Linked DNA regions of Elephas maximus indicus. The protein of the gene in region 2 binds, or shares a complex with, the protein of the main gene of each other region. Links are inferred from orthologs where the notes say so. Each region holds a gene or a part of one and is shown on either strand. Other genes may lie near its edges. The genes, in order: BET1L, STX5, STX18 and STX7.

The links.
Region 1: STX5 (region 2) and BET1L share a complex: the UniProt entries of both Homo sapiens proteins name them as parts of the SNARE complex. The link is inferred for Elephas maximus indicus from reciprocal best matches to the Homo sapiens genes STX5 and BET1L.
Region 3: STX5 (region 2) and STX18 share a complex: the UniProt entries of both Homo sapiens proteins name them as parts of the SNARE complex. The link is inferred for Elephas maximus indicus from reciprocal best matches to the Homo sapiens genes STX5 and STX18.
Region 4: STX5 (region 2) and STX7 share a complex: the UniProt entries of both Homo sapiens proteins name them as parts of the SNARE complex. The link is inferred for Elephas maximus indicus from reciprocal best matches to the Homo sapiens genes STX5 and STX7.

What each region holds. Positions count from the first base shown.
Region 1 is NC_064825.1:138,017,410-138,024,287, forward strand, and holds the start of BET1L (BET1-like protein), read left to right. Parts: upstream 1-3,874; 5' UTR 3,875-3,976; coding exon 3,977-3,995; intron 3,996-6,279; coding exon 6,280-6,371; intron 6,372-6,619; coding exon 6,620-6,676; intron 6,677-6,878. Other genes in the region: RIC8A (synembryn-A), read right to left, coding at 307-398, 822-1,412, 1,481-1,528, 1,907-1,990. UniProt on the Homo sapiens protein: Vesicle SNARE required for targeting and fusion of retrograde transport vesicles with the Golgi complex. Required for the integrity of the Golgi complex.
Region 2 is NC_064825.1:125,978,753-125,986,082, reverse strand, and holds the start of STX5 (syntaxin-5), read left to right. Parts: upstream 1-4,449; 5' UTR 4,450-4,453; intron 4,454-4,674; exon of another isoform or gene 4,675-5,030; intron 5,031-5,119; 5' UTR 5,120-5,138; coding exon 5,139-5,363; intron 5,364-6,356; coding exon 6,357-6,427; intron 6,428-6,595; coding exon 6,596-6,651; intron 6,652-6,767; coding exon 6,768-6,838; intron 6,839-7,330. Other genes in the region: WDR74 (WD repeat-containing protein 74), read left to right, coding at 1,782-1,882, 1,974-2,029, 2,347-2,492, 2,630-2,686, 3,224-3,400. UniProt on the Homo sapiens protein: Mediates endoplasmic reticulum to Golgi transport.
Region 3 is NC_064823.1:156,987,096-156,994,471, reverse strand, and holds the start of STX18 (syntaxin-18), read left to right. Parts: upstream 1-4,363; 5' UTR 4,364-4,467; coding exon 4,468-4,635; intron 4,636-7,376. UniProt on the Homo sapiens protein: Syntaxin that may be involved in targeting and fusion of Golgi-derived retrograde transport vesicles with the ER.
Region 4 is NC_064819.1:201,524,746-201,532,246, reverse strand, and holds the start of STX7 (syntaxin-7), read left to right. Parts: upstream 1-4,488; 5' UTR 4,489-4,796; intron 4,797-7,501. UniProt on the Homo sapiens protein: May be involved in protein trafficking from the plasma membrane to the early endosome (EE) as well as in homotypic fusion of endocytic organelles. Mediates the endocytic trafficking from early endosomes to late endosomes and lysosomes.

The DNA.
Region 1 (6,878 bases), about 12 Mb from region 2:
CTGATCCTGGTGGTGCCAGGAATACCCAGGTATTTCTGAATGGTGCTGCTGCCCACCTCACTCAGACAGGTGAAATCAGACTCTAGGGTGGGTCCCTTCTGCTCTCTTTGCCCCGCCTCCCGATCCACAGCCAAGACTGAGAACCCTGTCTGAGCATCCCCTTCCCAGCCAAGGCAGGCCCACATGCACACCACCCCCATCTACCTTGAAGCCCCACCCACAGCCCCACCCACCCACCTCAAGGCCCCGCCCACCTGTAACCCATACCCCACACCCCCACTTACCCACCTCAAGCCCCTCCCTCACCCGTGGAACTCCTCCGTGCGGTCGCCGGCAGCCGAGACCATCACACAGTGCCGCAGAAGGATCCCCAGATGCCGGTAACAGGCAGCATCATCCTAACCAGAAACATGTTCTTAGAGGAGAGAAGAACCCCACTCCCGTGCTGTTGCCAGCTAAGGCTCTTCCATCCACTGAGCCTACCAACAAGCCTAGTCCTGGGCCCTTGTCCTCTCCAATGTGACCTTTACTTTACTAACAGTGGGGCTAAATAGCCTCTACTCTTTTCCTAACAGCACTTTTCCAACTAAGAACGTCAACACAGTCCCTTGGGATGAAATCCTGTTTCCTCTCCTACCACATACTCTGGTTCCTGCTGGGCCTGGAGAACCAGAAACCACCTCCCCTCGCAGCCTCCCTCCAATGCCTTCCTTGAGGCCCCTCCTCAAAAGGGACCCTCCTCTTCTCCAAGAGGCAGGAACCCCAATCCTCTCTCATCTGATGCCCACAAAATCAAAGGCACCTGTGAGTTGAGCCCTCACCTCATCCACCTCCTGCTTGACCAAATCGAAGGTGATGTTGAAGAGAACTTTGAGGATCTCCATGGCCCGCTCTGTCTCCTGTGCAGGGAGGAACTCAGGGGGGCTCTCCTCTGGGGACGCCCCCAACGTCAGCTCCAGCGCATGGGTCAGCAGGCGCACCCCCTGCAGCTCCCGAAACAGTTGCTGGCGCACGTCAGTGCGCAGTGCCGTCAGCAAGAAGAGTAGCCGCAAGTCAAAGAACTGGACATCATGCGGGAAGCTCCGCTGCCCGGAGAGCCGCACACGCTCTGAGAGCCTTACTACCAGGCAGGCCTGGGCAGCCAACGCCTGTGCCGCGGGGCTGCTCAGCACGAGGTTGCAGAGGCACTTGAGGGCCTCAAGCACAATGTCCATGTCTGGAGACTCAGGGTCAGGTCCCTCGGACACGAAGATGCCAGCACAGCGAGCCAGGGCCTGCAGGCTCGGGCGGCTGGTGAACAGGTCCAGGCAGCCGCGGTCCCGGGACAGGATGCGAAGGCTCTGCAGCCAAGTGGCGCGTCGAGAGGGCGGCAGGCCCTGCTCCAGGGCCGACACCAGCAGGCCGGCCAGTCTCTGCAGAGAGAGGAGCAGCTCCACCAGGCCCGCCCCCGCCCAGCCCCCCACCCCCGGCCAGCACCCACCTTCCTGTCTTCCCGCTGCGCGTCCTCAAACGTGAAGCTCTCCGAGTTCTGCAGAGAGAGATCAAGGGATCACGACGTTCAGGTTCCCCAGCCGGGGCAGGACCGCGCCCGCAGGGGGGCGGCAGCATCGGCCTCGACTCTGAGCAGGCGGCTGGGCCCGGCGCCCCCACCCGCAGACGCCCCCCACCGCGCCCCCCCGCCCGCAGATGCCACCACCGCGCCCCCCCGCCCGCAGACGCCCCCCACCGCGCGCCCCCCCGCCCGCAGACGCCCCCCACCGCGCGCCCCCACCGCGCCCCCCCGCCCGCAGACGCCCCCCACCGCGCCCCCCCGCCCGCAGACGCCCCCACAGCCCGTCCCGCAGGCTCAGCCCCGCCGCGCGGCGCGCCCACCGTAGTGCCCGGCCCGTCAAAGGCTCGCGCTCACCTCCCGGTTGTACGTCCGCAGGGCCTCCATCATTGCGGCCTCCTCCCCCGCCTCCACGGCATTCGCAACCGCCCGGGGCTCCATGGCGTCGCTGGGACCGGCGCGGGGAGGCTCCAGTCGGCGAGCGGAAGGCCCTCGAGCCGCGGAGCCGACCCCGCCCTGCCTCCCGACCCAGCGTCACGCGCGCGGGGGAGGCCGGGACCGAAAGTGCGCGCGCCACGGGGAAGGCCTGGACGGGGCATGCGCGCGCCGCGGGAGGGGCCTGGACGGGGCATGCGCGGCGCCGCGGGAGGGGCCTGGACGGGGCATGCGCAGAGCCGCGGGAGGGGCCTGGACGGGGCATGCGCGGCGCCGCGGGAGGGGCCTGGACGGGGCATGCGCAGAGCCGCGGGAGGGGCCTGGACGGGGCATGCGCAGAGCCGCGGGAGGGGCCTGGACGGGGCATGCGCGGAGCCGCGGAGAGGTCCGGGTGGTGTTGGTGGCCTTGAAGTCGACTAGGCTACGAGACCCGGCTTGGTTATCGGCTGACCTCAGAGTCCGAGTCGCTCAGTGCAGAACCATGGCCCACCCCCCGACTGCTCCTTGGGCCAGAATTTCCAACAGGAGAGGGCCTCGTCCCCCCACCCGCGACACGCACACACTAACGCCCTTCTTGATCCACCGAACGAATGGGAGGGGGACAACCGAGGTGGAACTTTGTAGTCCTGGGGCCAATTGGTTTGATAAACAGGATTTTGTTGAGCTCCTATTTCATGCGAGGTGCTAGGGTCCCTGCCTTTCTGAAGTTCGTCTTCTAGAGAGGAAGACAGACCAGGAAAAACAAATGACTGGGCGGTCATAAGTGCCATGATTCAAAAAGCAGCCAAGAGTCCTGTGATCTCCAGTGCATGGTGGGCTGCAAAAGGCTCTGAAGAAGTGACCCTCTTGCTGAGACGAATGACAAGAACAGGGGCCAGGAAAAGGCCTGAGAGGGGTCGTTCAAGGCAGAAGGAATAGCTTGTCCAAGAGTGGGAATGACCGTGGTGGGATGGGGAAAGGAAGTTACCGTTGGAGCTGAGACGAGGGGGAGTGGGGAAGAGGTCAGGGATGAAGAGGGGAGCCTGACCGTGTGCGGCGATTTCCTCCATGTGTAACCCAGACCTGGTGCCCAGCCTGGACGCGGTTTTCTTTTTGTGTAAAACAGGAATAATAAAAGTGCCCGTCTCAATGGGTTATCATGAGGATTAAATGCATTTAAGTGCAAAGCACTCAACGTAGTGTTTCGCACACAGAAAATGGTCCGTAACGGTGGGTAACTTATAAATACGGCGCATCCACCCATCTATTCTTTCAATAAACATTGAGCATCTACTTCGTGCCAGGCCCTTTGTTAGGGACAAAGTTCAAAGTCCCCACCTATCACCAATACCCCTATTCCTTGCTTTATTTTTTCCACGATTCTTCACGCCTCTACTTTAACAAACACACAGAGCTTCCTCGGTGCAGGCACTGTCCTAAGCACTGTCAGCTCTGTAGATGCGAGCTGGTGTGCAGAGGTTAACCATCCCCAGGCCACACCAGGGCGATGCTGTCCCTAACGCGCCGCAGCTTTGGCTTGTCTGCAGCACTAGGACGGTGGGCGCCCCGGTCGCGGAGCCCGGCCCAGAGCGGAGCGCAGGCAGGCAGGCGGGACGCCACCCGCACCTAGCCTGTAAAAGCTGCCCGGTATTTACTGGCTAGCCTGGCGCTACGTTACTGCCTGATGCACCTCTGGTTGGAATAACCGAGAGAAGAGCCTTTCGGGGACCATGATTTGCCATTAAAAATAGAAGGCAACCAAGCGGTACCAAAAGCAAACAACCCCGCCGCGCCCCCATTTCGCGGGCTCTGAAGCCAACTTGAACTCACTTCCGCCTCCTTTCAGCCGGAAGTCGAGCGAGGCTCTGGCGGAAGGGGCGGGGCTGTGGCCGGTCGGGGCGGGGCCACGGCTCAGTGGGGGCCGGAAGCCTCTTCCGGTGCCCAGTGCCACGTCCGTGGAGGCGGCGGCGGCGGCCCAACCGGGGACCGAGGCCCGGGCCGGAACTGGGCGCGATGGCGGACTGGGCTAGAGGTGCGCGCCGGGAAGCACGGCTGTTGGAACCGGGGGGCGGGGCCGGAACCGGGGCAACACCGCGGGAGCGACCCCGCCGCGGCGGGCGGAGCCGGGGCTCCGGGGCCTCCCCGGGCGGGAGCGGGCCGCACTCCGCGGGCGCTGAGGGCCCTGCCGCTCGGTCCCGGCCGCAGAGCGTACCCCGCACCCACTCGTGCGGCGCCCAGGGCCCCTGGGGCCTAGGATGGGGCCTCGGACGGGCCACCCGGCGACTGTCCGAGAGGCTGGTGCGAGGACCCGTGAGCCTCCGAGTCGAGGCTGTGCGGTGGGAGGGTCCAGACAGGCCGTGTACCGACTCGGTGTTCCCGTCTGTTAAGGGGGGCTGTGTACCGACTCGGTGTTCCCGTCTGTTAAGCGGGGCCGTGTACCGACTCGGTGTTCCCGTCTGTTAAGGGGGGCTGTGTACCGACTCGGTGTTCCCGTCTGTTAAGTGGGGTTCTGATACCTGTCCCATTGGACTGTCCTGACGCGTAAAGGCGTAGAGAACATGAAAGATGCCTCGCACAATTGGCTCTCCTTCCCCGGGTGTAAAATGGTGTGGCGGGGCCTCTGACCTCCTCTGACTTCACAAGTGGGAAGGAGAAAGGTCAGCACCAGCAGCACAAGGCTGATTGCGTTGAGGTGGAGGTCAGACATGCCTCCACCCATCAACCCTTTTACCAATTCTGACACCAGCTGCCCCTCCCACGGCACTCTGTACTCCTCTGTTGGGTTCGATAATTGGTTGCAATGATCACACAGGACTCATAGACTCGTAGGTAGTTAAGGTTTGTTAGGGAAGTAATGGGTTACAATTCAGGATCAGGAACGCTCAGGATACAGTTCTGGGATCAAGACAGCCTCTTTGCCACAGGCCTTTCTCTGCCCCCCGCCCCCCCGCCTCTGACCTGTTCATCCAAGTGTTACAAAGCTCTTTTAGCTCTGCCAGCGAATACCTGGAGGCACCCCAGTCCGCCAGGAAGCCTTGTGCCGGAAGACGCTTAGCTCTCTGGCTCTGTGGGTGGGCAAGCCCACTGCACCGTCTCCTGCCAGTCTCCTGGTTCTGCTGCCTCTGCTGCCACTGCTTCTTGCTATCTCCAGTGTTAACAGCTCTCTCTCTCTGTCTTCGGGGTCCAGGACGTTCCCAGAGCAGGGATCCCGGGTCCAAAGGATGCGCTCCACTCCTAGCTCTTTTTTGGTGGTAGTGAGAACCCCACTCTGCTCTGGAATTGACTGCTTGTTTAAGTCCAGCTGGATGGCAAAACTGACCAGTCCCCTTATTAGGGTTTTATATACCTTATTAGCATGATCACACCTCCGTAGGGTCCTGTGCACCTTATTTGCATGATCAGTAAGCTATCCAATCGTCTTGGCAGGTCATAAGCACCTTATTTGCAGTTACAAAAACTGTTGACTAGAAGGGCCATATTAAGCGATTCACTGTACTGCAGCAGGGGTCTTTACACGTCATTCCTGTGGGGCTGTGCTGCACTCCAGTGGGTCACGTAGACGTCATTGACCCAGGTGCGTGAGGTGTGCGCGGGGCGACGATTCTCATCCACCCGCTGTGATGCGAATCCTGCATCTCCTGGCCCAGCCCCAAAGTGGAGAGTGGAAAATGGGTTTGTCGGGCCACAGGCAGTCACAATGGGGAGCAAACACAGTGCACAGACCCAGCTATGCCCTTGGGGTCAGGTATCTCAGCTCCTGACCATTCCCATGTGTGAAAGGCTACCCAAGGTCCCCGGCCACCTGTCACCTCTTCAGGACCCAGCTCATGGCCGCCCACACAGGAGCTTCCCTGTACCCTCCAGGGGTCCTTCCAGGTTGCTCTTGAGGATTGTCTGGTGAACATAAAGAACACACAGGCAGGTGTTGTGTCTTCCCAGTACCCCTGGGCTTGGTCCAGGTCCTGGCAGAGTCAGGTTAGAAAGTGCTGGTTGGACAAGCCCGTCGGGGGCACACGGGGGGGCGTTCCATGCGTCCTGCGCGGGCATGTACATGGGATGTGCACTCGCACGTTGTTGCACAGATTGTCCTATGGGAAAGACCTGCGGACCTCACACTGGAACCTAGACTAGGACACACCTGCCCAGCAGGTTAGGACCCACACCTGCCCAGCAGGTCACAGATGGAGGGGACTCAGGCCCACTGACATGTCTACCTGGGTCCAGTGGGATGGATGAAGGCGCAGAGAGTCGGCTCCCCGAGTTCCAGGGTTGGGGCTTCCACTGGTGATGCGATCCCTCCCTCTCTCTCTCTGCAGCTCAGAGCCCTGGGGCTGTGGATGAAATTCTGGACCAGGAGAACAAGCGGATGGCAGACCACCTGGCCTCCAAGGTCACCCGGCTCAAGTCGGTCTGTGCAGTTGTGGGCAGGACCTGAGGGAGGGCAGCCAGCTGGAGGGGGGTTCCAGGCAGTGTATCCCTCTCTTCACCCCATCCATGCTTACCTACCACACAGGTTCTGGGTGACACCTGACCTTGCCAGCGGCACCCATGTCCTGCCGGTTTGCTGGCAAGGTCTGGCTAGTCTTGCAGGGAGGGTGGGGACCGCCCACTCTTTGTGGCCCTGGCCTGAGCCTGCCTTCTCTGTGCCCTGACCAGCTGGCCCTGGACATTGACAGGGATGCAGAGGACCAGAACCACTACCTGGACAGCATGGTAGGGGCCTACAGCCTTCCCCACCTCAGCTGTGTCCCCTGCCCACACCCTGTGTTTGGCTTGTGCCCACCCTCCCGCATGGTCATCTCTGATCCCCACATACCAGTCCCTGCCCCGTACCCTCTCCATGCCTCGCACCCCGTAGTACCTGTCCTGTACCGCCATCCCTGCCCCCGTGCCCTGCTCTGTCCCCCCACCCTCC
Region 2 (7,330 bases):
AGGTGTCATGAGAGGACATTGGGCTGGCAGTGTAGAGAACTAGGTTCTGGGTTCTGATGCTGCCTCTCGTTTGCATTGGGGCCCAGGCCCTCTTCCCATCTCTGGCCTCAGCTGTACATGAAGGGCTGGACTGGGGAACATGACAGTTATTTCATTTGAAGTCCTAAGACCCAGACAGGGCTGGGCCACTGTTTTTTGCCCTGTTTCCTTCACTCCTGCATATTTGAAGTCTAATCTTGGTGATATGCCTCTGCTCAAAACCCACAGGAGGGCTTCCTCTCTCCTCCCTTGTTCAGGCTGAATTTCTCTGCTTGGAATTCAGCACCTTCTGACAATTGAACTGACTTGCTTTTCCATCCTCCTCCCCCTACATGGGCAGATTGCAGGGAGGGCATGCAATGCTGACCGTGGCAGTGCTGCCCTATTCCCCAACCTAGGGGACCTGTCCCTCAGCCCTGTCCATTTATGCTTCTAAGTAAGCTTGTACCTCAGTTTTCACAATCCTGCTAAAAAAATGTTCTAGTAGCGCCTGAAGTCCTCTAACTTCAGGAGGAGGAGACAGAATCACCATCAGCCCAAAGCTGATTCCTATGAGGTGGAGGTCAAACATACCCCCCTCTCCAACTTCTTTACCATTTCCGACACCAGCCAACCGCATCCCCTCTTGCCCCCATGGCGCACTCTGCTTCTCTGCGGGGTTCCGTAAGTCATTGGAACAGCCACACAACTCAGGCCATACTTACAGTTAAGTGGTTTACTAAGGAAGTAACAGGATATCAGAATCAACAGGCTGCAACTTAGGATCAGGATCCGGAAGCATGTAAGCAAAGTCTAAAAGACGCCCCTGAGGTGGAAGGCACATCACTCCCTTCTTCAGTGTAAATAGCTCCCGGCGCCTCTTGGCCATGCAAGCAAGCAGGCCCTTCTCTCTGCCATACACGCCCCCTCAGCCATGCACGCCTCTTTGCCTTTGGCCACCCTGCTGTCAGCCTCTCTGCTGCTAACTGATCCAGCTTATAGCCAGTGTAAAAGCTTTGTTCAGCTTAGCTGCATTCCTAGCTGAAGGTTTCTGCTGTCATTTTCAACTCTCCCCCAGGGCCAACCTGGGCCTGTTGCCACTGGCTGTGTCGCAAGACCCCTTCTGGGCTTCTTGATGCCTTCAGTGTTACAGGCCTTCACCTGTGTTACAGCTCTTTTAGGAGGTTCCTCGCCTCCTGTCTGCTGCTTCTCTCTTGCCTGTCTTGTCTTTTCTCCCTTCTGAAACCTCTGTGGGTTTGGCCACTTATATAAGCAAACTCCTTATCAGTTTCAAGGTATGGCCCTCCCGGCAGGGCCACAGACTAACCAATCCCCTTTGTGGACCATAGTCATTTGATTTGCATAGTCTGTAGTCACTTGATTTGCATAGTATATTGATCAGTCCTTACAAGGTGCATACCTATCACAGGATAGGCTACAGCCCAGGACCAGACAAGAAGTATCAAACCAAGCCGTTTACAGTTTACCCAGGAAATGTTAGTCAACATGGACAGAAGTAGCAAACCCTTAGGTAGAAAACCAGGGCAAAGGTAACCCCTCAGGGCTTAGTGGAAAAATCTCAAGCTGTTTTTCCTAAGAACCAAGGCAAAAGGCCACATAAAGGAACTTATTTCACCACACCTGCCCACCTCACAGGTTGGTCTGAGACTGGGTCATAAACAAACAGCACAGGAAGATGTGGAGAAGCCCAAGGAGGGTGTGCGGGCTGAGGGTACTCTTATGATGACTCAGTCTTCCTCCAGGTCCGTGTCTATGATCCAGCCTCCCCCCAGCGCCGGCCAGTCCTTGAGGCCACCTATGGAGAATATCCGCTGACAGCCATGACCCTCACTCCTGAGGGCAAGTAAGTGCCTGGAGGGGTAAAGGTGGGTGGCGGGGGCTCAGGGACGGCTCCGGGAGGTTCCTGCTGACGCACTTGCTTCTGGTCTCTTCAGTTCGGTGATTGTGGGGAACACGCATGGGCAGCTGGCAGAAATTGACCTTCGGCAAGGTAAGTGGACTAGAGGGTGAGGGTGGGGAAGAAGGCAGAATTCCTTCTGAGGCAATGCAATGGAGTGGTTGTTAGCTCTGTTCAGGTGCCACATTGCCTGGGTTCAAATCCTGTTTTCACCAAAAGCTGCTGGCCTTGCCAAATTACTTCAACTCTCTGTGCCTCAGTTTCCTCACGTGTAACATGGAGATATTACTGGTAATTCCTGTCTCTGAGTTACATTGAGGACTAAATGTTGAGATGTAAAGTGATCAGAACAGCAAACAATACGTGGTTGTTGGCTGGCCAGCTAACACTGATACCCCTGCTGTCCCCAGGGCGCCTCCTAGGCTGTCTAAAGGGGCTGGCAGGCAGTGTCCGAGCGTTGCAGTGCCACCCTTCAAAGCCCCTGTTAGCCTCCTGCGGCCTGGATAGAGTCTTGAGGGTGCACAGGATACGGAACCCACGGGGTCTGGAGCATAAGGTGAGAGCCCGAACCTTTGAGCCTTGCCCGTTCTGCCTAGTTCACAGTTCCTGGAGCCCACTGGCACCTGTGCCCCCATTCATTTTTCCATCTACTTCAGCATGCCTGGGCTCCTTAAGTCCCCTCATCTTTTGCAGGTTTATCTCAAGTCTCGGCTGAATTGCCTCCTTCTGTCGGGCAGGGACAACTGGGAGGTGAGCTACTGGATCTGGGAATGTGAGAGCAAAGGGCATGTATGTGAGGATTTCCCTCAGAGAGAAAAAAGTGGCAGCTGGAACCCAGATCTGGAGCTGTCCACTTGCCTGCCAGATTATTTCATTTCTCTGACAGGTTTTAATAGTCAGCCCTGACAAAGTTATTGCCAAGAGTGACATGTCTAAAAGCATGGACCGAATTGGTGTCCCGGGTGCAGAAAATAAAGATGATGGTGGTGGTGGGATTATCTTCCCACTAGGGCTTCCACAGAGGAGCCTTGGTGGCACAGTGATTAAGCACTGCGCTGCTAACCAAAAGTTCAGTGGTTCAAACCCACCAGCCACTCCTCAGGAGAAACGTGTGGCAATCTACTGTAAAGATTACAGCCTTGGAAAGCCTATGGCAGTTCTGCTCTGTCCTCTGGGGTCGGTATGAACTGCAATCAACTGGTTGGAATGGGTTTAGTTTTGGCTTAGGGCCTCCTTGTGGGTCTGTTACTTTGCCCCTGATTCTTCAGCTTTCCTCCCGTTCACCAGGATGAGCCCCAAGAGCCTGAAGAACCCGACAGGGTGTCCCCAGAAGACACAGAGACGGATGAACTTTGGGCTTCCTTGGAGGCGGCTGCAAAGCGGAAGCTCCCTAATTTCAAGCAGAGCCAAGGGGCCCAACAAGCCAGGCAAAGAAAGAAGAGACCTAGATCCACCAGTCCCTGAAAACCCTGTACCCACTTTGTAAATAAACATCCCAGCACCCGCCATGACCTGAGCCTTTTGTGATGGGAGAAAGGGAAGAAGTGGCTTGGGATAGGAGAGCTGGGGCGGCACGATTTCTGACGTCACAAAAGCCGGCGAAGGGCCCGCGGGGCGGGCGGGTGGGCTGGCGGGGCTGGCACGGAGTGCGGGCCGCGGGGGGCCATGGGCTGCTGCCAAGACAAGGACTCCGATGAGGCCACCAGGGAGGCCGACTCCGTGGAAGGTGGGAGCAGAGATGCAGAAGAGGGGGACAGGCACGGGCGCGGGAGAGGAGGCTGCCCCAGCGGTATGGCCAGGGAGGTTGGACAGGGGATGGTAAAGCAAAGCTCAGCGGCCTCGTGGACCCCCTAGGCACCGAAGGGACTGATGCCACGGACGCCCCGAGCCGCCGGAATCGCAAGTCGAGCGAAAGCCTTCTGATCACTGTGCTGTGGCGGCGGCTATCCCTGTTCAGCCGTCGGGGCTCCTCACGGTCGAACAAGAAGCATTCAGGCCAGAGTCAAAAGCCGGGGAGTCAGAAGGCGGAGAACGCCCCGGAGAGGATCCAGGAGGAGTCAGAAAAGGGGTGACCCCAGACCTGCTCTCAGTTCGCCCCAGCCTCCAGAGAATAAAATTTCTAACGCGGACTTGCGCGAGCGCTTACTCTCCACTGCCACTTTCGGAGCACCGGGCGACGGCACCACTGGGGCTGCGGGCTCTTTAAGACTCCTACCCTAAGGTTGGCCTAGCCCCCCGGTGCTCAAGGGCTCCCTCCTCTGGGGCGGGGTCACGGTATCGGCCTAGCCAATGGGACGGTGAGGTCACGCCTACGCTCGGGCAGGGGCGTGTCTGCCGGGTCGCCGGGCTTGGAAAAGCGTGGCGCCGCGCTGTCGTCACCAGGGGCGGGGTTACGTGTGGGTGACGTGGCGGCTTCCAATCTTTGGCCGGGTTTCGGCGGCTTCTGCTCTCGGGGAGGAGGCAGTGACGGCCCAGGAGACTGTGGCATAGGCAGCGGCGGCCGGCGGCAGTGAGGAGGTAGGATTCGCTTTAAGAGGGGGTCCGGTCGCCGTGTCAGCTCCGGGACAGCGGCTCTCTGGGGGCGGCGACGGGGGGGAGGGGAACAGGGGACGAGCCGGCAAGTCTTGCCGGCCCGGGGGGGGGGGCGGTGAGCGAATGCTTGACCGTCCAATCAGGAACGTTCCTGTTGAGAAAGACGTCGATATTAGCTAATCAGTGGTTGCAATCCTCCAGGAGGCGGAACTTGGGCGGGGGGTGGGACTTCCTGTTTCAAATAAACACTTAGAGATTCCCCCCTCCGCCCACCGAAGTGTGTCCCGGTCAGGAAGTCCGTCACCGTTTCCCCCTGAGGAGTTTAAGGAGCCCAGGGGTACGGGACGGCCCAGTTAAGGCCTGGGGCAGCTGCACCTGCCGAGCTGTAGCCTCAGGGCCACGGGACGTGGCTCTGGCCCTGGCTGCGCTCAGGGCCCCAGGCCCGCGCCCTGGCCGACCGAGCCAAGTTGGAAGAAGGGTCTGAGGAGGGGACAACTTGAGCCGGGAAGGAAGCGGGGCCTTCCCTCTGCGGGCCGGCCTTGGGCGCGAAAGTCCGTGCCAGGTGCAGAAAGGGCCGGAGGATTTGCTGGTCGGGGGGAACTTGTGGGGATGGAGGCTGCCTGGGGAATGACACTCTGCCCTCCACAACAGTCCGAGGTTATGCGTCTCAATGATCCCGCGGAAACGCTACGGATCTAAGAACACGGATCAGGGTGTCTACCTGGGTCTCTCAAAGACACAGGTCCTGTCCCCTGCAACTGCTGGCAGTGGCAGCAGCGACATCGCCCCTCTGCCCCCCCCAGTGGCCCTAGTCCCTCCCCCTCCCGACGCCATGTCCTGCCGGGACCGGACCCAAGAGTTCCTGTCTGCTTGCAAGTCCCTGCAGAGCCGTCAGGTAAGGACCTGGAGTGGGAAAGGCGAGAGGTGAGCCGTAGTCGGTGGGGAAGTGGGCTGCAGCACTGTTTGCTGAAGTAGTTCTTGGGGGATCCTTATGGCAGGCTCATGTGTGGGGCTGTGGGATCTACTAAGCAGCAGAGAAGATGCAGGTTAGCTAACTGGAGGCAAGGACCTTGACTTCTGTGAAGAACCCCCTGAGGGTAGGGCTGTTGTTCTGGGAGGAATCCCTCAGGGCCAGAGGTGGCTGCACTGTATTTGATTTGGATAAGTAACAGGCTCTAGCAATACGCTTTAGCTGGGAGGCATGCACCTTGAATTCTGGTTCCCACGTAGTTCTAACAGAAGTTTGTTTTGTGACCGTGAGGAAGTTAATTACTATTTGGACCTCAGTTTTTCTGTCATTAAAATGAGAGAAGTTTTCTAGATCAGTGATTTTTGTCAGAATTGCTTTAGAGTGTCTTTTAAAAGGCAAATTCGTTTGTCTAAGTCCAGATTCCTAAATCCAAGTGGGATCTGGGTAACTATTTTTAAGTATATTTCGTGTTCAGCTCTTGCTAATAGCTGCTCATCCACATGATCTCCAAACCTTCTAGTTATACTTCTCTTTTGATTCTGAGAATAGAATGGCAGTACCAGCTACCAGTTTAGTATTTATAATATGCTCAATATTTGTCTAAAATACTTTACAGCTTTTTTGTCATTTAGTTTCAGTAACAATAATAGGAGATAGGTGAATTGTTTTCCTTTTAGAGTAGAGGAAACAAAGACTCAAAATGGTTTAAGTCTCTCAGCTAATAAGTGAGAGTCAAGCTTTGAACCCAGATCTACTTGTCTTTAATCTGAGCTCTTAAACTACTACTGCTGGTAAATCTAGGCTATCTGATTAAGGAGCTCATCACTAGAAGGAGTTTAGTGGGCATCTGAGGAGCAGTAAAGTCTGGAAATGAGGAAGGGAGAGCTAAAGTTGTCACCTCCTGACATTGCTTTTCAGAATGGAATCCAAACGAACAAGCCAGCTCTGCGTGCTGTCCGGCAGCGCAGTGAATTCACCCTCATGGCCAAGTGAGTCGAGAGAAGCGGTGTGGTGGTACGCTCTTGTGTCTGAGCAGAAGTGGGCTTGCCTTTGATAGGCTTGGCTGTGAGGACTGGGATTGGCTGTGCTGGAGCTGATGCGGGAATAGGCACTCTCCTGCCCTTTCTTACAGTGCTCTCACTAATGCTCATTTGCAGGCGCATTGGGAAAGATCTCAGCAACACATTTGCCAAGCTGGAGAAGCTGACAATCTGTGAGTGTTTTGGGGGACCCTTTTGTGGTGGGGCAATGAACCAAAGACATTGGGGAGCCTTACTCTGAGTCCTGTTTCTGACCTCACCTGTTGTGGGTTCTCACTTGTCCCTGCAGTGGCAAAGCGCAAGTCCCTCTTTGATGATAAAGCAGTGGAAATCGAGGAGCTGACATACATCATCAAACAGGTGAGCTACTAGCCATCGGTCAGATCACTTCCATCATTTTCCATTGCTGTGGAAGCCCAGAGCAAGTTTCTAGAGCCAGCCCCAAGCATCCTACTCATCCATTGAGCCAGTAGATACTTTTGGATAACCTACAAGGTACAAAGGATTATGCTGGGCACTGGTGACAAAAACATGAGACAAGATTCCTTATTCCTTATTCAGGCTTATTGTCTAGAAGAGGTATCCAGCCCCATGAACCCATACTTACAGTGAGTAGGAGTCAAGTGGTACAGAAAAGAGCTTACAAAAAGATCAGTGAGACCCGTTGGGGGTGCTGGGAAGGATTTTATAGCAGAGATGAAATCTGAACTGGTTTCAAGTCTTGTGTAGCAGCAGTGGAAGGACATTCCAGACAGAGAAAACTGTGTATACAGAGGCATGGCTTAAAAAGGGAAAGTTCAGGAATAAGACATGCCTTCCAGTTTTTGCTCAGACGTTATCTGCTCACGAATG
Region 3 (7,376 bases), on a different chromosome or scaffold from region 2:
GATCTTCTATTCTTCTTCCTCCTCCTCTCTTTATAAACCTCATTGTAATTGGTTTGCTTTGAGCCACTTGCTTTTTTTTCCAGAATCTGAATGGTCTTCCTATATGCTTATAGAATAGCCTACCAGAATAAACTTTATATTTCAACTACACTGAACTTTGATTATTTTTGAAGAATGAACAAATCTGTCTTGGAAGAAATACAGCCAGAATACTCCTTAGAAGCTAGGATAGCAAGGCTTTCACTTACTTCAGACATGTTATCGGGAGGGACCAGCTTCATCCCATTATACATGGGATTGCTTTGAGTTGGAACCTACTCGACAGCACCTAACAATAACAATGCTTTAAGAACCAGTTTTAATACATATACTAATTGCAAGAAGGCACAAATAGTTAAGTGCTAGACTAGTTCTAGCCAAAAGGCTGTAGGTTCAAAGGCATCCAGAGGTGCCTGGAAAGAAAGACTTGACAGGTGATCTTCCAAATGTTCACAGCCTTGAAAACCCTATGGAGCAGTTCTACTCTGCACACACAGGGTTGCCATGAGTCAGAAATCAACTCGATGGCAACTAAAAACAACAACATAGTTGTGCATCCTCTTTAAAAGAATAAGCAAACCTGCTTATCAATGAGGTCTTTAATTAAAACTGGACCTCGAAGCAAAGAAGGAGCCTTGGTGGTACAGTGGTTAAAACGCTCAGCTCTTAATTGAAAGGTCGGCAGTTTGAACCCACCGGCTACTCCCTGGAGAAAGATGGAGCAGTTTGCTCCCATAAAGACTTACAGCCTTTAAAACCCTGGGGGGCAGTTCTACTCTGTCCTATAGGGTCGCTCTGAGTTGGAGTCGGCTGAACCGCAATGTGTTTGGTTTTGGTTGGTTGAAACAAAATTCAGAAAAAATTAACTGGCTGATGTCTTAGTTCTCTAGTGCTGCTAAAACAGAAATACCACAAGTGGGTGGCTTTAACAAATTTATTTTCTCACAGTTTAGGAGGCTAGATGGCTGAATTCAGGGCTTCAGCTCTAGGGGAAGATCCTTGTCTCCTTTCAACATCTGTGGGCCTGGCATTCCTTTGGAGATCTTCATGTGCCTTGGCATCTATCGTTCCGTGAGTCTAGCAGGTTCTCAGCACAGGGGCCCCAGGTCCAAAGGATGTGCTCTGCTCTGGCTCTTTTTTCGTAGTTGTGAGGTCCCTCCCTTTTCTGCTCACTTCTCTCTCCTCTTATTGTTGCCAGGAACTCCAGGTCCTGCTCGATGCAACTCATCAAAGCCAATAAACAAGAGGCTGAGGTGGGAGATCAGAAAGGCAACTTTATTTCCTTGCAAGGAAAGGAACAGTCGGGGCTGGTGTCTCCAAGACTATTCAAGGATAAAGTTTAGGGAGGTCGCTTTTATAGAGCTTACAAGCAGGGAGATCATGTGAATTACAACAGCAACATTCTAAATCATGCTACGGCAGGGGGTTACATAAAACTTCACAGTACATGTGTTTAAAGGCTGTAAGTCTTTATGGGAGCAAACTGCTCCATCTTTCTCCAGGGAGTAGCCGGTGGGTTCAAACTGCCGACCTTTCAATTAAGAGCTGAGCGTTTTAACCACTGTACCACCAAGGCTCCTTCTTTGCTTTTTTAGGGGTGGAAAAATTGGTACCTACGAGGAAATTAATGAGCCAAATTTAACTGTAGGTCTCTTGAACTAGTTTGAACCAGCACTCGGTGGCTTACTTGTCTTGCCTGAAAAAGAAAATACAAGCTCTGAGGTGTGATCTCCACTGTGGGATTTTTCCCACAGTATCAAAGGCTGCTGCTTTATTACTTCGTATAAGATAAAAGGTGTGACTCAAGCAAGGGTATGACTCAAGCAAGGGTGTGACTGGAGTAGGGGTGTGAGCTAAGTAAAGCTGTGACTCAAGATCCACCTCACACTGATCCTGCCTCATTAACATATAGAGGTTAGGATTTACAACACATCACAAAATGGAGGATAATTACATCAGGTTACAAAATGGAGGACCACCACACAACACTGCAAATCATGGCCTAGCCAAGTTGACACATACTGGGGGGAGAGGGGCAGACACAATTCAATTCATGACAGCTGACTTGCAGCCAACTTAAGCAAATATTATGACTTGAGTTAGCGATTGGTGACACAAGAGGCACTCTTTCATCCTTATATCCAGTTGATAAATTCCTACTCATCCTTCAAATCTCTGCTCAGGTGGTAACTTCTCTGTGATCCTCTTCCCCACCACAAATAATAAGGATAATATTAACAGCAGCTAATATTTACTGGAATTAGTCGATGTTCAACCATTTCAAGAGGTGGCATATGATCGGGAACCGATGGTGCTGAAGGAAGAAGTCCAAGCTGCTCTGAAGGCATTGGCAAAAAACAAGGGTTCAGGAATTGATGGAATATCAATTGAGATGTTTCAACAAACAGATGCAGCACTGGAGGTGCTCACTCGTCTATGCCAAGAAATATGGAAGACAGCTTCCTGGCCAACTGACTAGAACAGATCCATATTTATGCCTATTCCCAAGAAAGGTGATCCAACCAAATGCGGAAATTATCAAACAATATCATTAATATCACACGCAAGCAAAATTTCACTGAAAATCATTCAAAAATGGCTGCAGCAGAATATCAACAGGGAACTTCAGGCTGGTTTCAGAAGAGGACACAGAACCAGGGATATCATTGCTGATGTCAGATGGATCCTGGATGAAAGCGGAGAATACCAGAAGGATGTTTACCTGTGTTTTATTGACTATGCAAAGCCATTCGACTCTGGATTATAACAAATTGTGGATAACATTATGAAGAATGGGAATTCCAGAACAGTTGTGCTCGTGCTGAGCCTTTACATAGATTAAGAGGCAGTTGTTTGGACAGAACAAGGGGCTACTGATTGGTTTAAAGTCAGGAAAGGTGTGCGTCAGGGTTGTATTCTTTCACCATACTTATTCAGTCTGTATGCTGAGCAAATAATCTGAGAAGCTGGACTATATGAAGAGGAACGGGGCATCAGGATTGGAGCAAGACTCATTAACAACCTGCATTATGCAGATGACACAACCTTGTTTGCTGAAAGTGAAGAGTCTTAAAGCACTTACTAATGAAGATCAAAGACCACAGCCTTCAGCATGGATTACACCTCAACATAAAGAAAACAAAAATCTTCACAACTGACCAATGAGCAACATCATGATAAATGGAGAAAAGATTGAAGTTGTCAACGATTTCATTTTACGTGGATCCACAATCAACAGCCATGGAAGCAGCAGTCAAGAAATCAAAAGACGCATCTCGTTGGGCAAATCTGCTGCAAAGAACTTCTTCAAAGTGTTGAAAAGCAAAGATGTCACCTTGAGGACTAAGGCCAAGCCATGGTATTTTCAATCGCATCATATGCATGTCAAAGCTGGACAATGAATAAGGAAGACCAAAGAAGAACTGATGCCTTTAAATTGTGGTGTTGGCGAAGAATATTGAATATACCATGGACTGCCAAAAGAACGAACAAATCTGTCTTGGAAGAAGTGTGGCCAGAATGTTCCTTAGAAGCAAGGATGGCGACACTGCGCCTTACATACTTTGGACATGTCGTCAGGAGGGATCAGTCCCTGGAGAAGGACATCATGCTTGGCAGAGTACAAGGTCAGCGGAAAAGAGGAAGACCCTCAACGAGGTGGATTGACACAGTGGCTGCAAGAATGGGCTCAAGCATAGCAACGATTGTGAGGATGGCGCAGGACCGGGCAGTGTTCCGTTCTGTTGTGCATAGGGTCGCTGAGTCGGAACCGGCTCGACGGCACCTAACAACAACAACAACGACATTTACTGGTCACTTCCTAGGAGCCAGGCCACACCAAAAACACTTCACACGCCTTAACTGACAATTCTCACAACGACCCTGAGACGGGTCGGCTCCACTTTAGGGACGAGCTGCTCCATCCGTGTCCCTTGGACACTGCTCTGTCCCTGCCCTGCGACACGCACACTGTGACCCCCTGAGGTCAAAGGACAAGCCCGTTTGGCCTCCGCGTCCCCCGAGATTCGCCCGGCCCAGGCTCAATCAGGGCGGGAGCCACGAGAAAGGAACGAGCCGTCCGGCTTTCCGATCCTGCTGTCCCGGACCCATACTCCCCAAAGCCGTACACGACGGTCGGGGACCCAGAGTCACTCGGCGCGGCCAAGCCCGGGGGGTTTTCGGGGAGAAGAAAAGGACGCCGGTGAGCACTTCCAGGCAGCTTCCGGGATCCGCCCCGAGCGCCAGCGCGAGGCCGGAACCTTTCTCCTCGCTCCGCGGTAGCTCGGCGGAGGCCGGAACCTTTCTCCTCGCGCTGCGGTTGCTGGACGGAGGCGTGCGGGAGAGAACGGTCCTCTCGCAGCCGGGTTCGCAGCGCGTCGCCGGCTGCTGACGTGGGGGGCCCTGTGGGGACCGCGGGTGCGGGTCGCCATGGCGGTGGACATCACGCTGCTGTTCCGGGCCAGCGTCAAGACCGTGAAGACGCGGAACAAGGCGCTGGGAGTGGCGGTGGGCGGCGGGGCAGATGGCAGCCGCGACGAGCTGTTCCGCCGGAGCCCTCGGCCCAAGGGAGACTTCTCCAGCCGGGCCCGAGAAGTGGTGAGCTGGTTGCTATGGAAACGGCGGGCGGGAGCCGGGCGCGGACCCGCGGCGTGGACCCCTAGACCCCCAAAGTGCACCCGGTCCCGCAGGCATTGTGCGAAAGAAACGCCTGGAAGAAGGGGTCGCAGGAGGGAGCAGCCGAGCTGGCTTCTGAGAGCCGGCAGCTGTCTGGGGAAAGGAACGCCATGCGTTTGGGGAAATTAAGGAAGCCGATTTGTCTTGGGCGGAAGGAGGCGCTCGGAAACCTGCGTCTGCAGAGTTCCCGGGTGTGTGTGGCAATGACTTCGCCGTCACTGCGCCTGGACGCGGAGGCAGCTCCCCCGCAGCCCCCTGCTCCCCTGTCGCCTCGCCGGCCACGCTGCCATCGCCTCTTCTGTTCACTTGTCCCATCGTCCTTCCTCGAATTGAGATTAAAGGCCATGCCTGATTCAGCTGTCCTCTCCCCTCCCCTGGCCTCCTGCAGGAGGTTAGGGCACAAGGTAGATAGAATTCAGCACTTTTTTTTTTTTTTTAATTTATTGCGCTTTAGGTTAAAGCTTGCAGAGCAAATTAGTTTCTCATTAAACAGTTAATACACATACTGGTTTGTGACATTGGTTGCCAACCCCGCAACATGTCAACACTCTCTCTGTCTCCACCTTGGGTTCCCCATTTGCAATGGTCCAGCTTTCCTGTCCCCTCCTGCCTTCTCATCCTTGCCCCTGGGCTGGTGTGACCGTTTAGTCTCATATACATGGTTGAACTACGTGTATTATTGTTTGTTTTGTAGGCTTGTCTGATCTTTGGCTGAAGGATGAGAATTCAGTACTTCTTGAGACTGGTTTAGGATCAGCTTTCACAAACACTCCATGTGTCAGTCATCCAAACTACTTTCTGTTTCCTGAACACTGCAAGCTTTCCTCATCTCTCTGAGCAGGGACCTTCTCCTTAAGGGCAGGAACAGTGCTGGCTTCATTTCAGAATCCCCAATGCTTGACTCATAGCATTGCTTAGTAAATGTTGAGTGAATGAATGAACAGATGGTTGTCAGCCTTCCCCCACTAAACAGTAAACTCTGTAAGAAGAGAGAAAATGTTTGCCTTGTTCACTTTTGTATCCTTGGCACCAAAAATGGATCTAGTTTTTGTGGGGTCTAAAGCTCATACAGTTTTGTCTGCCCTCTGTGAGAAATAAAAATACAAAATTACAGAAAAAATCAGGTTTAGAGCTTTGGGAAAAGTATAAGTGAGGGGCCCTGATGTTTAAGGTTCTAATATCAACTTCACAGTAAATCCACGTTAGCTTGGCACGCAGTTCAATGCCTGGCAGTGTGTAGACACTCAGGTATTTTTGAATCAATGTATGCATGCATGAACCAACGAAGGGCAGTTTGCAGGGGATATTAAAGCATTAGAAGGGGGATTAGGCTAGATGAATACATTTAGTTCATTAACAAGCATCTTTTAAGCACCTACCTTCTAACCAGCACTGTGTTAGGGTAACACGATAGAAAAGGAGTGATGGCAGAGGCAGACATACGAACAAAACAAGTGCCATAAAACTTTGTAGGTGGTGGGATAGAAATATGTGTCAGGCACAAAGGAGAGTGTGATCAGTTCTACCTGAGGACCAGGAAGGGTTTTCTAGAGCCAGTCATGCCTGGAACAAGTCTCGAAAGATTTGGTTCCTGTTCAGACAGGTTGGGGGAGGGCATCTCAGGCTAAGAGAGCAGTGTGCACAAAAGCATGGAGATAGGTAACAGCCTAACATAAGTTGGTTCAATTAGTATTTGAGTGTGACTGGAATTCAGGACACCCAGAAAAATTCAACTGGAGGGGCAGGCAGTGGCGGATCTCAAAGGGCCTTGTATACCACTCTGCTGAGTGTGGACTTCGTCCTGTAGGCAGTCAGGTATTATGTGGTAGAAAGACACCCAAGAAGGAGCCAGGAGACCAGGCTGTTGGCTTAACCCTGCCACATTAGCCGCGTGATGCTGCTGTTAAGCAAGTTTTATGACCTCAGTTTATTTACCTGCAAATGGTGCCCTCCTTTTTTGTTCTTATTAAAAGAAGGCTTTTAAAAACTACAGTGATCCCTTATATATAACAGATCAAAGGGGGGCTTCTTGGATGGAAATGAGAGGAAGGGAAATCAAGACATTCTTCCTCCCCTGCCCCCAGTCAGGCCGAGGCCGTTCCTGGGTACCTCTGTGACTCTGAATGAGGCATTGATGGTTCAGTGGTAGGATTCTCTCCTCCCTTGCAGGAGACCTGGGTTTAATTTCTGGCCAGTACACCTCACGAGCAGCCACCACCCCTCTATCTTTGGAAGCTTATGTGCTGCTATGATGCTGGGTATATTTTAGCGGAGCTTTCAGACTAAGGTGGGCTAGGAAGAAAGGCCTGGCGATCTTCCAAAAATCAACCAATGAAAACCCTGTGGATCACACTGGAACACTGTCCAGTTCGCCACCACTTATGGGGACGGTGCAGGAGTGGGCATTGTTCCGTTCCGTGGTGCCTGGGCTGCCCTGAGTCAGAGCCAACTGGACAGCAGCCAATTACAGCGTTCCGACTCTCAGATCACTGATTCGTCAACACTGCTGATTCTGAGTCCTCAGGGAGGTGTCAAGACTTGGAGATCCTGCTAAGCAGGGACGGGAGCTGTGTCACTCGGAGCCGCTGTCCCTCCTGCCGTAGGGCGAACACGCACACTTCCGAGAACTGTGTTTTAACGTTGCAGTTGCTTTACGTGTCACC
Region 4 (7,501 bases), on a different chromosome or scaffold from region 2:
CTGTTGACATTTTGGTTAGCAAATGTAGATTGTTGTGGCTTTTAATCACTGTGCCACCAGGGCCCAGAGGTGACATTAAAAAAAAAAAAAAAAACACACCAGTGCCATCAAGGTGACATGGTGACATTAGCATTTGTTAAAGGAACATTTTGAGCCCTACTAGGTCCAAGGCACCTGGCTGAATTTCACTAAGTAGCAGGCAGAAACGCCTTTAGAAGACATGTATCCTCTAGTCCTCTGAATTTTGCAGGGTTCCCTGTACTTTTTTTCTTTCCATTTGAATACAAAGAGGTAAAATCTCATTTTTAGTTTTTCAAAAGACCTGGAAAGAATCCACTCATAACGTATTTTAAAACATGGGAAATTGGAACAAGCCCAAGAAGAGGAGTCAGACAGCTGAGATTTGTCCCCAGTTCAGTCAGAAGTTAGCAGGATAACCCAAAGAGGCCACTTAGCCTCAGGTTCTTTTTCTATAGTGCTTAGTACCTTCCTCTCCCACAGCCCAGGGTTCTATCAAAGGGACCAGGAAAGGATGTTTGGGAAGTGCACTAGACTTCATGTAGATGTAAGTTGCTTCATGACATTTTCTCGAATGATTGAGATACTTCTTCCTAAGTTTACCAAAGACTTCCTAATTCTCAAGTGCACGACTTTCAGTTCTTCGTTTACTTGAACTTTCTGTGATATGTGACATCATCACAGACTATTCCCTTTTTGAAATGCATTCCTTCATTCTCTACTTTACTTTTTCCTGATTTATTTCTGATCTCTCTCATTACAAATCTTTGCAGGGTTTCTCTTTCTCTGTCCATACCTGAAACATAGGTAGTTCATAACATCTGACCCTTCAAGTTAATGAGCTCATCTCTTACCATAGCTCCAACCAGGACTCTATTTTGAATTTAGCTCACATTTTCAAGTGCCCGATGACACTGGGCATGTCCTACTGGATATCGCATCCCCAGAATCTTTTTTCACTGTTGTAAAAATACAGATAGCATGACATTTGCCAATTCAATATTTTTCACGTATATGATTCCATGACACGAATTACATCATTCCCCAGAATCTTAAATACAACACCTCACTTCACCACTCCATCCTCAAACTGCAATTGCTTTCTTAGTAATCTTAGATTTTAGATAACTACATCATATTCACCTCAGTTTTGCATGTCATAAGAATAGGAGTTATCTCTTCATTCTCCATATTTAGTTGATTTCCAAGACTTCTTAAATATTTCTCAAACCAATCTTCATTTCTTCTCCAATGTATTTGCCTTACTGCAGTCCTTGAATATCTCTAATACTAAAAAAAAAAAAAAACTAATACTAAAAAAAAAAAAAAATACTAAGGAGACTCTTAATAAGGGAATGTTACTATTACAACAGCCTTCTAAGTGGTGTCTCTCCACCTTCAGTTCCCTTTAATTTTCCCCACTTCTCCAGAATTTTCTTTGTAAAGTAGAATTATGAGTGCATCACACCCTTGATTAAAATCCTTTAATGGCTCAACTTCTATTAGATCGTCATTTAATATAATACAGAAGCTTTTCATTACCTAAGCCCAAATTGCCTTCCAGATTTCCATCTGTTATGGATTGAATTGTGTCCCCTGAACAATATGTTGAAACCTGAACCCCCGTACCTGTAAGTAAGGCCCTGTTTGGAAACAGGGGTTTTCTTTTATTATGTTAATGAGGTCATACCAGAGTAGGGTGAATCCTAAATCTAATTACTTCTGAGTGGTGTTTTATAAAAAGAGCAGAATGGACACAGACACGCAGGAGGAAGAGATCATTCAAGGAGTTGTCTACAAACCAAGGAACGCCCAGGGCTACTGATAAGGAAGCACTTTCCCTTAGAACAGATGGCCTGATTTTGGTTTCTAGCTTCCAAAACCATGAGGAGATAAATTCCTGTTCTTTAAAGTCACCCCGCTTGCAGTATTTTTTGTTATGGCAGCACTAGGTAACTAAGATATAATCTGCTATGCTTTATCTAAATAAATTTATGTATAGATCCCTAAAAGTTTATGATTACCTCTGATTTCATGAACATTTATATGCTCTTCCTTTTGCCTGGATGTCCTTTCCCTTCTTGTCTTCCTAGTGAAATTTTACACAACTTTTTTTTTTTCAAGGTTCTGCTGACAATTCTTTTTGGAGTCCTCTGTACCCACAGTAAGGCACCTCCATTTCTGGGCTCCCACTGTGCTTTGTACAAATCTCTATCATATCACCTTTTTACAATGTCCAGGGAAGGATCTCATTCTTTGAGCTCCCTGAGGGGAAATACTATATCCTATTGATCATGATATCCACTGTGCCTAGCACAGTGCCGGACACCTGGCAGGCTCTTGGTGAATATTTGCCAAATGAATGATGATGGAAAGAACTCTAGACTCTGAAGTAGGCTATAGGGACCTGTGCTGCTCAAAATTATCTGTGTGGCTTTAAGTTTCTTTGGGTTTTAGTTTCTTTAGTCTGTGAAAAGAGGAAGTAGTGCTAGATTTTCTGTAATGTCTTTTCCACCTTTGATACTCTAAGGTTGATGTGGTTGTCTGTTATAGAGGTTGACCACCACCTGTCTCTCAATTTGTTGTGCTGTGGTAGTCTGCGTGTTACTATGATACTAGAAACTATGCTACCAGTATTTTAAATACCATCAGGGTCACCAATGGTGGACAGGTTTCAGTGAAATTTTCAGACTAAGACAGTCTAGGAAGAAAGGCCTAATGATCTACTTTTGAAAGTTAGCCAGTGAAAACTATATAGATCAGAACAAAATATTGTCCTACTGAACTCAAACATGCCAACGATTGTGGAGAGGGCACAGAATCTGTCGACATTATGCTCTGTTATGCATAGGGTTACCATGAACTGGAGCCAACTTGATGTCAGCTAATAACAACAAAGAGGCTGAAACACACACATTTTGTCTGATCACAGAATGTTTTATGAAAATTAGGAATACTGGAAGGAGAGATTTCACATAAAAATCTGAATTTCCATCATATCTTCTGAAAAATCAGATAATTGGACAATACTGGTCCAATTTTGCTGAAAGGCTGTAGTTGATTCTAGCTGAATCATGCTGTCCCTTTGGATGGGGTGTGTGCTTTCTCCTTAACCAGCATGCCCACCTCTCCCTATTTCACCCACCTCTTCCTATTACCCCTACCTCATTGAGGCAGTATGTAAGTTGCTGCTTATTATCCCACTTTTAAAGTAGTTTTCTTTACTAAAGATGAGAGAAAAAACATTTCTTGGACCTATTCCTCTGTCAAAATGAGAAAATGAGGAATAGACTGAGATACTTGATGTCTTAGCCCTGACTGACCTTACTAATTTATGTATATTGTTTTTACATATAACAGGAAACCCTGGTGGCTTAGTGGTTAAGTGCTACAGCTACTAAACAAAAGGTCAGCAGTTCAAGTCCACCAGGTGCTCCTTGGAAACTCTATAGGGCAGTTCTACTCTGTCCTATAGGGTTGCTGTGAGTCTGAATCAACTCAACGGCAGAGGGTTTGGTTTTTGGTTTATATGTATAACATGGAGGCCCTGGATGGGGCAAAGGCTTAAGCGTTTGACCACTAACAGAAAGGTTGGTGGTTCGAACCTACCCAGAGACACCTAGAAGAAAGGCCAAAGACCACAGCTTTGACAACCCTATAGAATGCTATTCTATTCTGTACACATGGGGTCACCATGAGTCCAAATCAACTTGAGGGCAACGTTTTTTGTTTTTTGGTATGTAAAACACCAAACACAGCAACCCTATGTGTTACAGGCTAGTAACCTTTACGCAGTAGTAATCTTTATACAGATAACCAGGCCTTTTATTCTATGGTACCAATGGGTGTGTTCAAACCGCCAACCTTTAAGTTAGCAGTTGCCATGAGTTGGAATAGACTCCACGGCGGCAACTAACAACAACAAACACCAAACAATCTAGAATTTTTTCAGGTAGTACCAACCCAAAATGTTCTGTCCCCCCCCCCCCCCCCACACCCAAATCTGGACTTTAAATATCATATATCCTGATGATCCTTTCAGGAACTATCATTGTCTTAATATAGGGAAAGGCCAAGCCAATTTATCTTCTAATTAATGCAGTGAATTATTTTTTTTTCACCTGAAGCAACTGATGCATTGCATTATACTTATGTTTGCATATTTGTCATTAGAACATTCCCAGCTCTTTTCAAACCCTATGAAAACTGCGCCTGACCTTCAAGAATGCTTAGGATGGCTTGTCTGTACAACGAAAACTTGGTTACTAAGTGAGCACACCGAAGTGGCTCTTCACTTACTCTTTCATCGTTCCCGCTAGGTTCGTGTAACGTGTTTCGACACCTTCACGGGGCTGTGAATACGGGTCTATTACCGGTTAGGAAATAAGCATGAGCTGATGGGGCGGGGTGAAGACACGTGTCCAGGAAGACTGGCTTCGCCAGATAAAGAAGACAGCTGCCCTCCACGTCCTCCCCTTCTTTTTTGCAAGCAGGCTAAGGCGTTCATCATCAGTAAGTCAGGCCGAATGAAACACCTCCACGCCAGTGTTGCTGGTACCCCCGCCATTCCTTAGCTCCTAACCAGAAGGGGCGGGAGAGGGACGCTGTCACTCAGCCCCGCGGACCAATGGGAGAGAAGCGAGCCCCGCCTCCTTCCCTGAGCTGAGTTGCAGGCATGCGCATTGGACTTGCCAGCGCCACCGCCCATCAGCTGAGAATTGTAGCGCTCTGAGGGTGGGTGACCGTGTCCGGAGGAGGAGGAAGCAGAGCAGATCTGGGTAAGACGACCCCGGGGAGGGGACGCCCTGGCCCGGTGTCCCGGAGGCGCGGTGCCCCTGCTGCGGCTTCCGCGCCTCCTTGTTTGTGCGCGTTGTCAGGTAGCCGCCGCCCAGCGTTCTGCGGCGGCAGATCGCGAGGGTTGGGCCCGGGCTCCAAAATCGCCAGCTCCTGCCCACGCCCCCTGGCCCGGGGCGGCACACATTCCTGGTGTGCTCGGCCGGCGCCGCGGGGAGAGCAGGGGCGGCCCCGGCCGGCCCGGCCAGCCTGGCGCCCGCCGCGCTTCGCTGCATCCGGGCAGCTGCGCCCGGTCCCGCTGGCAGAGGCGCACTGGCGGGGCGGACGCGGAGCGACGCGGCAGAGCTCCGGCATCCAGGGACCGTCTAGACCAATACTTGTGCCTCCTGGAAACGCTTGGGCCTCTTCCTCTTTTTATCTCGGGGATTTAATCAACACACTTTAAAGTACTCTTCCTGAACAGAGAGGAACTGAAAAATATGTGGCTATAGTAAGCAAACCATGTATGTTTATTGAAGAAGCTCATCGTATTCGGTTTGCTATTTGGTTTGATGACATTGGTTGACACCCCAGCTTTCTTTGACCTTAATACTTGTCTTTAGCAGGTTTACTTAAAGACCTTTAAAACTACATAAAATATCCCAGAAATTTTTTTCCCCTTGTCTTCTAGGTAGCTTACTTTCTTGAAAACCTTTCTCTCTCTCTCTCTCACACACACACACAAATATACAAGAAGAAGAAGAAAAAAGCACATTGCCTTTCTGGTCAAATGCTGTATTTTTTCTTTCAGGTTTCTTACATTTGCTTGGCTCATATATTTACATTACTTTTTGTTTACTTCAGATTATTGTGTCCTGTCTATATAATTTCTTTTTTTTTTTTTTTTTGGTCTATATAATTTAAAACTTGCACGAAATCTGGAAGACAAGCACGTAATTATGAAATATTGTGCTGTTTAGTAACATAGATGGACACTTCTGCTCTGGGGAAGCCTGACCTGCACCTGGGCAGAGACTGGTCACAACAGTGTTAAACTGTGTCTTGTGACAGGTGGCTTTGCAGGCCACTTTGAGAAATTAACCTCCTACTTTGTTTGTGACTAGTTAAGAATTATGCTCTAGTTTCAAAGTTTCTGTGGAAGTTAATATGATACCATATTAACTCATTGTCCACATCATCTTTTTTCTTCAAACATTTTACTTCTTCTCCCAATAATAGTCAGCCCTATAAATTCAAAATAAAGAGGAAATGTTTGAATTTTGGTTATACCCTCAAACTTCAGCTAAGTGCCGGTGATCGAAAAGTAAATCATAAGATACCTTTGTAAGTCTCAGTAAAGTCTGTTGTGATTCCATTTAATTTGACAATTTAGTGTATGAAAGGGTAATCCATGGTATTATAAACTAAAACCAAAGAGTATAATAGTTCAGTGATAGAGGAGCTGAGCTTAAAGAAGTTGGTGGAACTCCTATGCCTCAGGTGCTGTGCATACCACAAGTCAAGGTCTTTCATATTTATATTCCAGAGGTAGGATTAGATAATAAACAGTATACTGATTAAATCATTTTAAATAGTGGTGAATGCTATGAAGCAGTGAGAGAGATTGACAGAGAGTGGCACAGGTGGTGAACTCAGGTCAGATGGAGAAGGTTTCTCTAGCATAAGACCATACTGATAAGAAGAAGCTCCATCACAGTCACATGGAGATCATGTGGAAGAGCCCTCTAGGAACAGGAAATGACCCTGAGCAAAGGCGGGAGGCAGCAGAGAGCCTGGGATGTATCAAGAGCTGCAAGAAGGGACTGGAATTCAGTGTCTTAGAAATAGTAATATTTACCCTCAGACAGAGTGTGTGTTCCTATACTTCTCTTCATTGATTCAACAAATATTTATTAAGCACTTAATTTGTAGCCAGGTACTGAGGATAGAGCGGTCCCCAAAATAGACAGCCCCTCTCCCAGCCCTGGAACTTACATGTTATGGCATAGGGTGGAAGGACGTCCAGTGCTTTTTGCTGGTGCTCACAATTAGGAACATGAAACTCACCATTTCAATCCCTTTGCTTATGATAAATTTAAAGAGCATGAAGGTTTATGGTTAATGCAAATCAAGGATTCTACAGTATGTCCAGTAATAACTGAGGGTAGTGTTTGACATGCAAGATTCTGTTATAAAATTTCCTTTGTTCTTTGTGCTCTTTAGAAGCAGATGAGAAGACTCACTATGTTTATTGCACTTTGAGCCTCCCTCCCCTTATTTCTCTTTATAGTGTTTTTATATCTTCAGAGAAAGATAATTTTTGCGGTATCTAGATGAGCGCCGACTAACAGAACTTTCTGCAGTGATGGAAATGTTCTATACCTATGCTGTCCAATTCAGTGGCCACTAGCCACATGTGGTTATTGGACACTTGAAAGGTGGCTAGTACAACTGAGGAACTGAATTTCTCATTTAACATAATTTTAATTAATTTCACATAGCCACGTATGGTTAGTGGTTACTTCGTGGGACAATGCAAGTCTAGATAATGATTATATACTTGTTATTCTGAGTGATAATAGTAAGTTGTAAAAAAAAAAAAAAAAAGGGCTCCAACTGTAAAAATGGTGTGGCAGCAGTATTGTTGTCTGACCCCATCATCTCACTTCACAAGGGGGGTGAATCAGGATTATCAGCCCATGGCTAATTA